Oryza sativa Japonica Group: one gene and its partner. The protein of the gene in region 1 binds, or shares a complex with, the protein of each later gene. Links are inferred from orthologs where the notes say so. Each region holds a gene or a part of one and is shown in the gene's direction. Other genes may lie near its edges. The genes, in order: AUGMIN subunit 4 and AUGMIN subunit 7.

Evidence for each region.
Region 2: AUGMIN subunit 4 (region 1) and AUGMIN subunit 7 share a complex: the UniProt entries of both Arabidopsis thaliana proteins name them as parts of the augmin complex. The link is inferred for Oryza sativa Japonica Group from reciprocal best matches to the Arabidopsis thaliana genes AUG4 and AUG7.

The regions. Positions count from the first base shown.
Region 1 is NC_089036.1:1,015,724-1,020,149, reverse strand, and holds the start of AUGMIN subunit 4, read left to right. Parts: upstream 1-1,408; 5' UTR 1,409-1,453; coding exon 1,454-1,591; intron 1,592-1,674; coding exon 1,675-1,722; intron 1,723-1,809; coding exon 1,810-1,908; intron 1,909-2,069; coding exon 2,070-2,423; intron 2,424-2,660; coding exon 2,661-2,760; intron 2,761-2,913; coding exon 2,914-2,959; intron 2,960-3,231; coding exon 3,232-3,325; intron 3,326-3,441; coding exon 3,442-3,513; intron 3,514-3,617; coding exon 3,618-3,676; intron 3,677-3,832; coding exon 3,833-3,901; intron 3,902-4,042; coding exon 4,043-4,094; intron 4,095-4,364; coding exon 4,365-4,426. UniProt on the Arabidopsis thaliana protein: Involved in microtubules reorganization during spindle and phragmoplast development.
Region 2 is NC_089035.1:38,315,028-38,319,388, reverse strand, and holds AUGMIN subunit 7, read left to right. Parts: upstream 1-1,350; 5' UTR 1,351-1,492; coding exon 1,493-1,626; intron 1,627-1,775; coding exon 1,776-1,861; intron 1,862-1,952; coding exon 1,953-2,014; intron 2,015-2,164; coding exon 2,165-2,256; intron 2,257-2,549; coding exon 2,550-2,675; intron 2,676-2,800; coding exon 2,801-2,891; intron 2,892-2,977; coding exon 2,978-3,085; intron 3,086-3,249; coding exon 3,250-3,348; intron 3,349-3,739; coding exon 3,740-3,937; 3' UTR 3,938-4,212; downstream 4,213-4,361. Other genes in the region: uncharacterized protein, read right to left, coding at 174-537. UniProt on the Arabidopsis thaliana protein: Contributes to the assembly of the acentrosomal spindle and phragmoplast microtubule arrays as part of the augmin complex. Regulates the association of gamma-tubulin with the spindle and phragmoplast microtubules.

The DNA.
Region 1 (4,426 bases):
CCTACAGAGGTTATGCGAAAGCGATGAGCATAATAATTCAATTCAAGTCGCATTCACGATGATTTCATGATGCTCCTCTCCAGTAAGGCTATCATCATAAATCTTGTCGCATTCCTTTGAAATTTGGTTTCTAGTGCTTCTCTTTTCGGGATAAAAATACTTTCGAAAAAAAACACGCTAATTATACGCATAATAAAAGGTCCCCAAGGACAAATCTTGTTATACAATACAATATTTGCAAGTTATTCAATATTGTGTTTTATTTTCTATCTTTTTTTTCCTTTCCTCATATGGTATGGCTGCTTTGGCGCACCATTTTCTGTCATAAAAGTCTGGTTACTGTAGTTGAAGACGACTACGACACCATAATCTCGAGAAAAAGACATCATGGCAGATCGTAATCGTATCATGCAAGCCTGAACATGAAAACAACAAACTTGAAGGTCGTCCATCTACCTGACCACATGTGTATGGGGATATGGGCTGGTATTTTGATCTAATCAAATTATTAAGCTCATGCACGTTGATGTGCCACAATTTTACCTTTTTTTTAAAGCATAGATTAAGATTTAAGAAAAAAAACTATAATACCCTTAACTAAATATTGTATGGTTGGATGTAGGAGGTTGGTTAGGGGCAAGAAAAAAGATAAATTTGAATTAGAAACGATTGATGGAACAAATAGTATTTTATTATGATAACCATTTTGAGACAAAGTTTAAATCTTAAAGAGACAAGTAATTTGTGACGGAGGGAGTAAGTTGTTTAATTTATACCGTTTCAGTTCTAATCATATCATTGTGTTGCTTATGTTCTTCTTCCAGGACGAGCAAACACCCGTTCTTCTTTTCTATAATCCTTCTCCAACACCAATCACAAAGAGATATCATCTATTTTAAATTTTTATGCAAACATTTGAGGGTATGCTCGAGCATAACGAAACCTAGCCATTAAATCTGTTTCTAAAATATAGTACTAGGATTTACCATCTCATTTTAAAATCGAAGTACACATTGTTTGATTTACGGCTCATAAGCCATGGAAAAAAGAACTAAGCATAAAAATAATAATGTTCACAGGTTTTTTTTAAGTCAACTTAAAATGAACCACGATGAAAAACCCCTAAAAATCAACTCTCAATTCTAATTTTCTTAAAAATTTTAAAATTTGGCCTCGGCAAATAAAAATAACAAACAGCGTATGAAATGAAAGACCGGAGAGATGACGAATTTGATGAAGGAGATTATAGTGGACATCCATAATTTCAGAAGATTATAGAGGCATTTTTGTTTCCGTGTCTCTGATAGCCGAATGAATCAGCCGTAATCTCATCCGTCATCCCACGATCCAACGGCTGGTAGCCCCCCCAAATCCGGCTACACAAACGAAACCCCACATTCCCCGACACGATTCAAACCACCACCAACGAACCTCTTATTCGCCGGCGACGACGATGTCCAAGGCCGCCGCCGCCGCGTCGCTCCCTCCGCCGCCGCCGGAGGTGGCGCACCTGGTGGATCAGCTCCAGCGCCACCACCTCGCCCCCGACGCCTCCCTCCTCTCCAGCTGCGCCCACTCCGACCTCCTCCAGGTACGCTATCTCACCTCCGCGAACTCGATGTCCTACCTCCGCGATCTCACCCGCTGCTGTCTCTGTGCTTTCCTTCGCCGCAGGCGCGGGAGGAGGTCGCGTCGGAGCGCGCGCGATACCTGGAGGCACTGGTGAGTGCGCCCGTCCCTTCTCGTGGGATCTGGGATTTTAGGGTTTCCCGTTGGGGTTCTGATCAGATCTGGGGGTAATGTGGTTAGGCTGTGTACGCGGAGGCCATTGCTATGGTGGAGGAGTATCAGCACGCCATCTCCACTGGCGTCGCCAACGCTGGGAAGAAGCTCAACTGCTCCCCGCAGGTTCCACTTCTCTCCCGCATTTTTAAATTTTTGCGTCTTTCAGTGAATGGTGGACATAAAGCTGCAAATGTGAATTCAACTGGTTGATTGCAGATGAAACTTTTGCTGCTAAATTGAGAAATTATCTGACTGAAAATGGAGCATTGTATGGACTGATGTAGGTGTACGAGTCATTGGAGCACCATTTGGCGGTTGCAGAGGCTGCGCAGAGGTTAAGGCTTCCACTGCTCTCGCAGGATGGAGATGTACATGAGGAGGAGATAGAGAAGCTGAGCACCTTGTCTAGGAGCTCATTCGATAGCACCATGACAAGTGCCGCACCTAGCTCGAGTTCAATCTCGACTAGTTACAATAACTACAGCAGCACCGCAAGTGCAGCCACTGTTGCTGCGGCCCCTGGTACTGGTGGTTCGGAGCCAGTTGAGCCTGGTGTTGGCGGTGTTCCTGATCGTTTTCTTGGAATCACATCGGATTATCTCTACCAGGTGCAGCAAGAGCAGCCAGCCATGACCGTGGTATGTATAATCTTTTGCAACCAAATTTATCGTGTGAACCAGTTGTTGGTGGGTTCAAGTTTCATTTTAGTTTTGGATATATTATCGTATGTTTCTTGGGGAATCAGACAATTACTGCTTCACTGCTTCCTATCTTTGTTTACCATTTACTGAAGAGCAATCAGGACATACATTGTTTCTTTTCAAAACCGGGCTGTTTAAACGTTTACAGCATGTACCTCTGATTTCCCGTTGCAGGACATGGTTGACTATCAACGAACTCTGGCAAGAGAGATTGAGGCCCGCTTAGAAGCCAAGTGTGATGCTTTAGCTGATCTGTTTGCAATGGATGAAAGGGGTCAGTTTTTGAATCTTGCTATGACTACCAATTTCACTCCCTGCGTTCCTGTCCATTTTATGCAATGCAACTTGGGCAACTTAGTTTTAGACAACAGTACACATCTTGTATTCAATATTATTGTTTTAGCTTAACATTTCAAATGTGCTGCAGATTCATCATCCATTAGTCAGATTTCAAGTGCCAGACTTCCAGAAAGGTGAAATTTCATATCTTTGCCTGTCTTGCAATGGTTTTACTTATACGGAAATGCTTGATATGCCAAAACTCTCTTAGGTCAAGCATAACATTTTGAGTGAAAAAAAATCTCCTTGTTTGCTTCTGTAATAATTTACTCTGATCACTCACAGTGCATTCTCAGTTCTTGATGGCAATGTCCAATTGTCAACCTTTACTTGTTTGGACTTAAAATATTAATAACAGGGAATTCATGAGACGCATTACTCACAATATGATTTTCCCTTTTGGCAGGGTGAAGTTAATTATTGAAGAGATTGAAAAGGAAGAGGCCCTTCTACTAGACGATCTTGCTTCGATGGATAGAAAATTTGCCGAACACTATAATGTACGTGTGTAGATATTAAGTGATTGCTCAAACTCCACATAGCCAGTTAGCTCACTTTATTCTAGTAGAAATTCTGGATTATATCCACTTACTGATGGCTCCTGAAATTTCAAAAGGTCCTGGAGCAAATTCTTGCTGTACTTATACAGTTCGTTAAAGACAAGAAATTGGAACATCAGCATCAATATGTAAGCTTTCTCATATTCCTATTATGATGCTGCTTCTTTGAAAACATGGAGTGTTTTCAGTTTCATATAGTTAATCCTCCTACTTTGTCTTTGTGGGCTAATAGGATGATCTGAAGAAGACTTGGCTTATTAAAAGGTGCCGGACAATGAATGCTAAATTAAGGTTGGTACCTGCATCTACGTCCATCATACATCACCTAATAACGGATCTTAATTTGTACTTTGTTAAACATAGTTAGTCTTCTAATTGAGTTATTTGCTAGTCAGCGATGGGACAAAACAGAGTTAATTAACTATTTCTTTCTTAACATGGTTCTAGCTATCTTGAGCATCATCTCTTGCGTGACACCTATACCAAGGAAACAGTACCGGCACTACATAGGATCAGGTAAAGCCAGTTTAATTGATTTAAAAAAAACTGACATGATATCTTGAGTTAAGTGGTACATCTTCTCAAAACAGATCCAATATGTTGAGTGCTTTTCTTTTCAGGAAAATGCATTTTTTACTTATTTACCGTTTCTTGCAGGAAATATCTAGTAGAGGCCACGAAAGAAGCATCCAATTCTTATACTGAAGCGGTATGATACACCCATCTTACTTTCCCCTTGTAATCTTCAAAATATTTGGTCATTAAATCCTTAATAGCAATGGTTATTACTCATTTACTGAATATCTAGTCCTTAACTCTGTAATGGAAATCTAGTAACTAGAGCTCTGTAGTTATCTATTTCAACTGAATTTCTATAAACAATGTATGCCATCTTTCAGTATCCTCTTTTACCTGAAAAGGAGTCGACTTTCCCATAATTTGTTTTTACATTCTAGAGTGTCGTTTTATCTTGCACCAGGTTTCACGGTTGCGCGAGTACCAAGGTGTAGATCCACACTTTGATGTAATTGCAAGGCAATA
Region 2 (4,361 bases), on another chromosome or scaffold:
ACATCATCTAGTTTACCTACTGTTTAATCCTCCACGCGCGTCTATGTCCTCAAACTAGCGTAATGTTGGAACAGAGCGTACGATTTCGTGTATCCGATGGATCCTAAGCACGGGAATAGGGAAAGCCACGGAACCAAAAGTGGGGGGTTTGGGGGGTGAGGGAGAGGCCAGACCGGAGGCCGACGTGAGCGAGGAGTGCAGGAGCGAAACGGCGGTGTTGACGAAGAGCGGGTCGCGGGAGACGGCGGCGCGCACGGCGGCGCTGGCGGCCTGGAAGAAGGCAAACCCTGCGGCCACGGGCGCCAGCTCCCGCCGCCCGCGCGCGCCGATCTCGAACCCCACCGACACCGCCCACAGCACCAGCGTCGCCGCGAAGAACGCGCTCGTGTCGCGGCCGCCGCCGCCGCCGCGATGGGGCGGAGGAGGCATGGGGCTCGTCGTCGTCGTGGCGAGCGGAGAACCGCACCGCACGATAGACTCCGTTCCCTCTTCCCCTCCCTCGGCGAGACGCGCGGCCCACGCGGTTGATGCCGGCATCTTTTATTATTGCTGGCCTTATCACTGACATGTGGGCCCCAGCCCAAAGTATATAAATTAAGGCATTTGTACATTTGCTAATGGTTTAAATCCTTGTTGAGAGATTGTTACTAGAAAATTATAAAAATATCCCTAGAATTATCATTCGAGTGACATCGTTATAGGGTTTGTTTATTATGTTGCCACTTTTAACTACACCAAAAGAGTCAAGTTTTGGTTAGACTATAAACCAAACACATACTCTCTTCGTTTCATATTATAAGTCGTTTGACTCTTTTTTAATTAAACTTCTTTTAAGTTTTACTAAGTTTATAGAAAAATATATCAGTATTTTCAACCTAAAACAAACATATTTATCAAAATATATTTAATGTTAGATTTAATGAAATTAATTTGATATTTTAAATGTTACTAAAACTTTTTTTTTAGACTTAGCCAAACTTAACCAAGTTTGAATAAAAAAAATCAAACGACTTATAATATGAAACGGAAGAAATACTTATCAATGCTACCCTACCAAATTTTGGTAATTCGATAAGTTTCTACTCCTAAAAAATTGTTTTACAAATTTTGATAAGTTAACAAACTAAACACAACCAACACTACCAAAATTTGATTTGATAGTGCCAAAATGTGTTAAAATTTGACAATGACAAATTTTAGAAGGGTTGAAAGTGCATACCATCTGAACAGCTCATAAATTTTAAAAAACAGTGGTAAATTTACAAATGCTACAGGTAAGTTCCAGACACCTTCAGAATTTGAAACGACAGTAAGGGAAATATAAAAACAAATTCGATTTTGAGAATTTGCAAATCTTGACACCATCTCGCTCGTTGGGTTGTCTCCGTCGAAGCGAGCGGCTCGATCCCCACCACCACCACCAGCAGCGGCAGCCTCGGCCGGCGCGGCGCGGCGAGGTGGGGAAGCGAGGAAGAGTGGGAGGGCTCTCGCCATGGCGTCGAAGCAGATGGAGGAGATCCAGCGGAAGCTGGCGGTGCTGGCCTACCCGCGGGCCAACGCCCCCGCCCAGTCCCTCCTCTTCGCCGGCGTCGAGCGCTACCGCCTCCTCGAGTGGCTCTTCTTCCGGTACGCGGCCACCCACGCCACATTCCCTATTTCCGCATCTCAATCTGCAAGGCTTGCTGCACAGTTGCGGGTAGATTTGGTCCGCGTTCTTTTTCCCCCTCACAGTCCCAACTCGAAATTGAGGGTTTCGTTTTCTCTTTGTTGCGGAGGCTCCTAGGCGACAGATCGCCGTTCACGCAGCAGAACTGGCAGGGGGATAGCCTCGACCGCGACGAGGAGAACAGCAGGATCCAACGTAAGGTTTTTTAGTTTCAAACATTTCACTACTGCTGTTGTTCTTGGGATCAAAGTGCGGTGCTGACATTGAAATGCTGGGGACTGTGCAGACCTGGCCGAGATTGCGAATTTCCTTGGTATAACGCCTTCGGTTGACACGGAGGCAATTCAGGTGAGAGAAATGGGTGTGCTTGTTTGTGTCATACGGTAACAGTTGTTGAATTTTAGCTGCTGTTATACAGGATCTATGAATTGTGAGAATGGCAGTAATATATTTGGGGTTAAATTGTCTTTGGTGTGCTCATAACTGTTCGAATTGCAGGGTAGAGGTAGCTACGATGAGCGTGTAGAGCTTCTCTGTCTCATTGTTGATCTAGTTGAAGCTAGCTGCTATGCTGACAATCCAGAGTGGAGGTTGGCTTTAAGCTTGACTATTTCTATTTGCAACGAAATAATACCCTTCATGTTATTCATACAGGACATAGTCATAAACATTGTCAGTTTGTGATAATTCAGTACTATTTTTTCATGAAACTTTTGTTCTAGGCTTCTAGCAATGTAAGAAAATAAAAGTATATCTGAAGAAAACATGTAAGAAAATAAAAGTATATCTGAAGAAAACTGAACTTTCATATACATCAAATAATCCATTAGGATCAACATGAGTGCATTGGAGACATAATTCCTAACAAATTGCTTTTTGGTAGTGTTGATGAGCAGCTGGCAAAAGATGTGCTGCTCGTAGATTCAATTGCAGAGAAACAAGCCCAAATATTTTCTGAAGAGTGCAAACTATTTCCTGCAGATGTTCAGATACAATCAATTTACCCCTTGTAAGTACTTCTTATCTGATAATTTTGTTGGTTGTAAGTACTCCCAGTTGAAGAAAAAGAGGAAAAGTAAGATGTTGAAAATCAGCTGTGTATGCTTCAAATCTTGAGTCATTCTCATTTTGCAGGCCTGATATAACAGAACTGGAGTTGAAGCTCTCCGAGTATACTAAAAAGATGTCAAATTTGCAACTGATGGTTCAGGAGTTAGCATCTAAGGTATGCGCTTAACAGCCACATAAACCTTGATAGTCTGTAGCATGTTCTATGCTATTTACACTGATGGTACAATTGCTGTTGCTCAGTATGACTATAATCCGAATGAAGACTATGCCGAGACAGAGTTAAAACTGAGGGAACATTTGCAATCGTTCCTAGAAACAGTAAAATCCTTCAATATGATCTACACTAAGGTGAATATCTTATGCAATGGTTTCTTTTTTCTTCCCAATTTCCCATACTTCTGCTGTACGTTCAGATAAATATTTTTGACATGATATCTTTTTCTGCTAACGGTTGCCATCTTTATGTGTTTTGAGTTTTACTTGTTAGATGATAGAATTGCTTTTCATTGTAGGAAATTCATCCTTGGACACATATGATGGAGGTCCCTCAATTGCATGGTTTTGGTCCAGCTGCTAATCGCTTGTTGGAGGCATATAACACACTTTTGAAGGTACTAGCGGAATATTTGGTTTATTTGACATTTTGTTGCTCATTTCAAGTTTTGCTTCCCTCTATGGTCAATGTGTCATGATCTGGTTATTTGAATTGGTGAAAACAAATATAAAAGGAGCTGATTAGCCGGTGGTCAATGTATGTCTTGTATTGCTATCAGATTATTTCAGAATAACCAAGATGCTAATATGGTATGGTATAATATCTGATAGTTCATTGATAGACCCATCTCTCATTTAAACTAATGAAAAATTCTAGAGTTCTTTTACTTCATATTCTTTTTAACTGATTAGCTCTGTGCGGTCTTCTTGCTTGTGTCTACTGTCTTCTGTCTGGTAAACTGAGCATATAAACATTGCTTGACTTGAGTGCCTATTTGTGATGTGCAGTTCCTTAGTAATTTGAGGAGCCTACGGGATTCGTATGCAGCAATGGCTGCAGGATCGCTTTCAGCATCTAATGAGCCTTCATCTGTCACCAAAATTATCTCCGACTGTGAATCTGCACTTACATTCTTAAATAACAGCCTTTCCATCCTTTCAACTTCTGTGGCACGGGAGCAGGGTGAGACTCTGAATTCACAGTAGCCTGATATCAGGATACTTGAATAACCTTGTAGCAAGTCGATCATTTGCTTTTTGTGGCTTGTAGTATTGCCGTTGTGCCAATTGTCGTTGTGTTCTTGTGTCTGTAGTTCGTAACTGCATAGATGAAAACTTTAACATTAGCTTATATTGAAATATCATGCCGAGAGCTCTCTTTCAAGGCTGTGTACGGCTGCACGTTGCAGCGGCTGCAACGCTGTACAAAATAATGTGCGAGGCGGCCGCAGCCGCAGTAGTGCAGCCGTAACAGGCCCCAAGTTTGTGCAGTACTTGTATGTTTTTTCTTTTTTCTTTTTTTCCCCCTTTGATTCTTTAGACAGTAGTAAGTTTCGCTAAGCAAATGTACCTTTTTTCCCCCTGAAAACGGTTCTAAATTTGACACATCAATGATGAATTGAATCAAGTC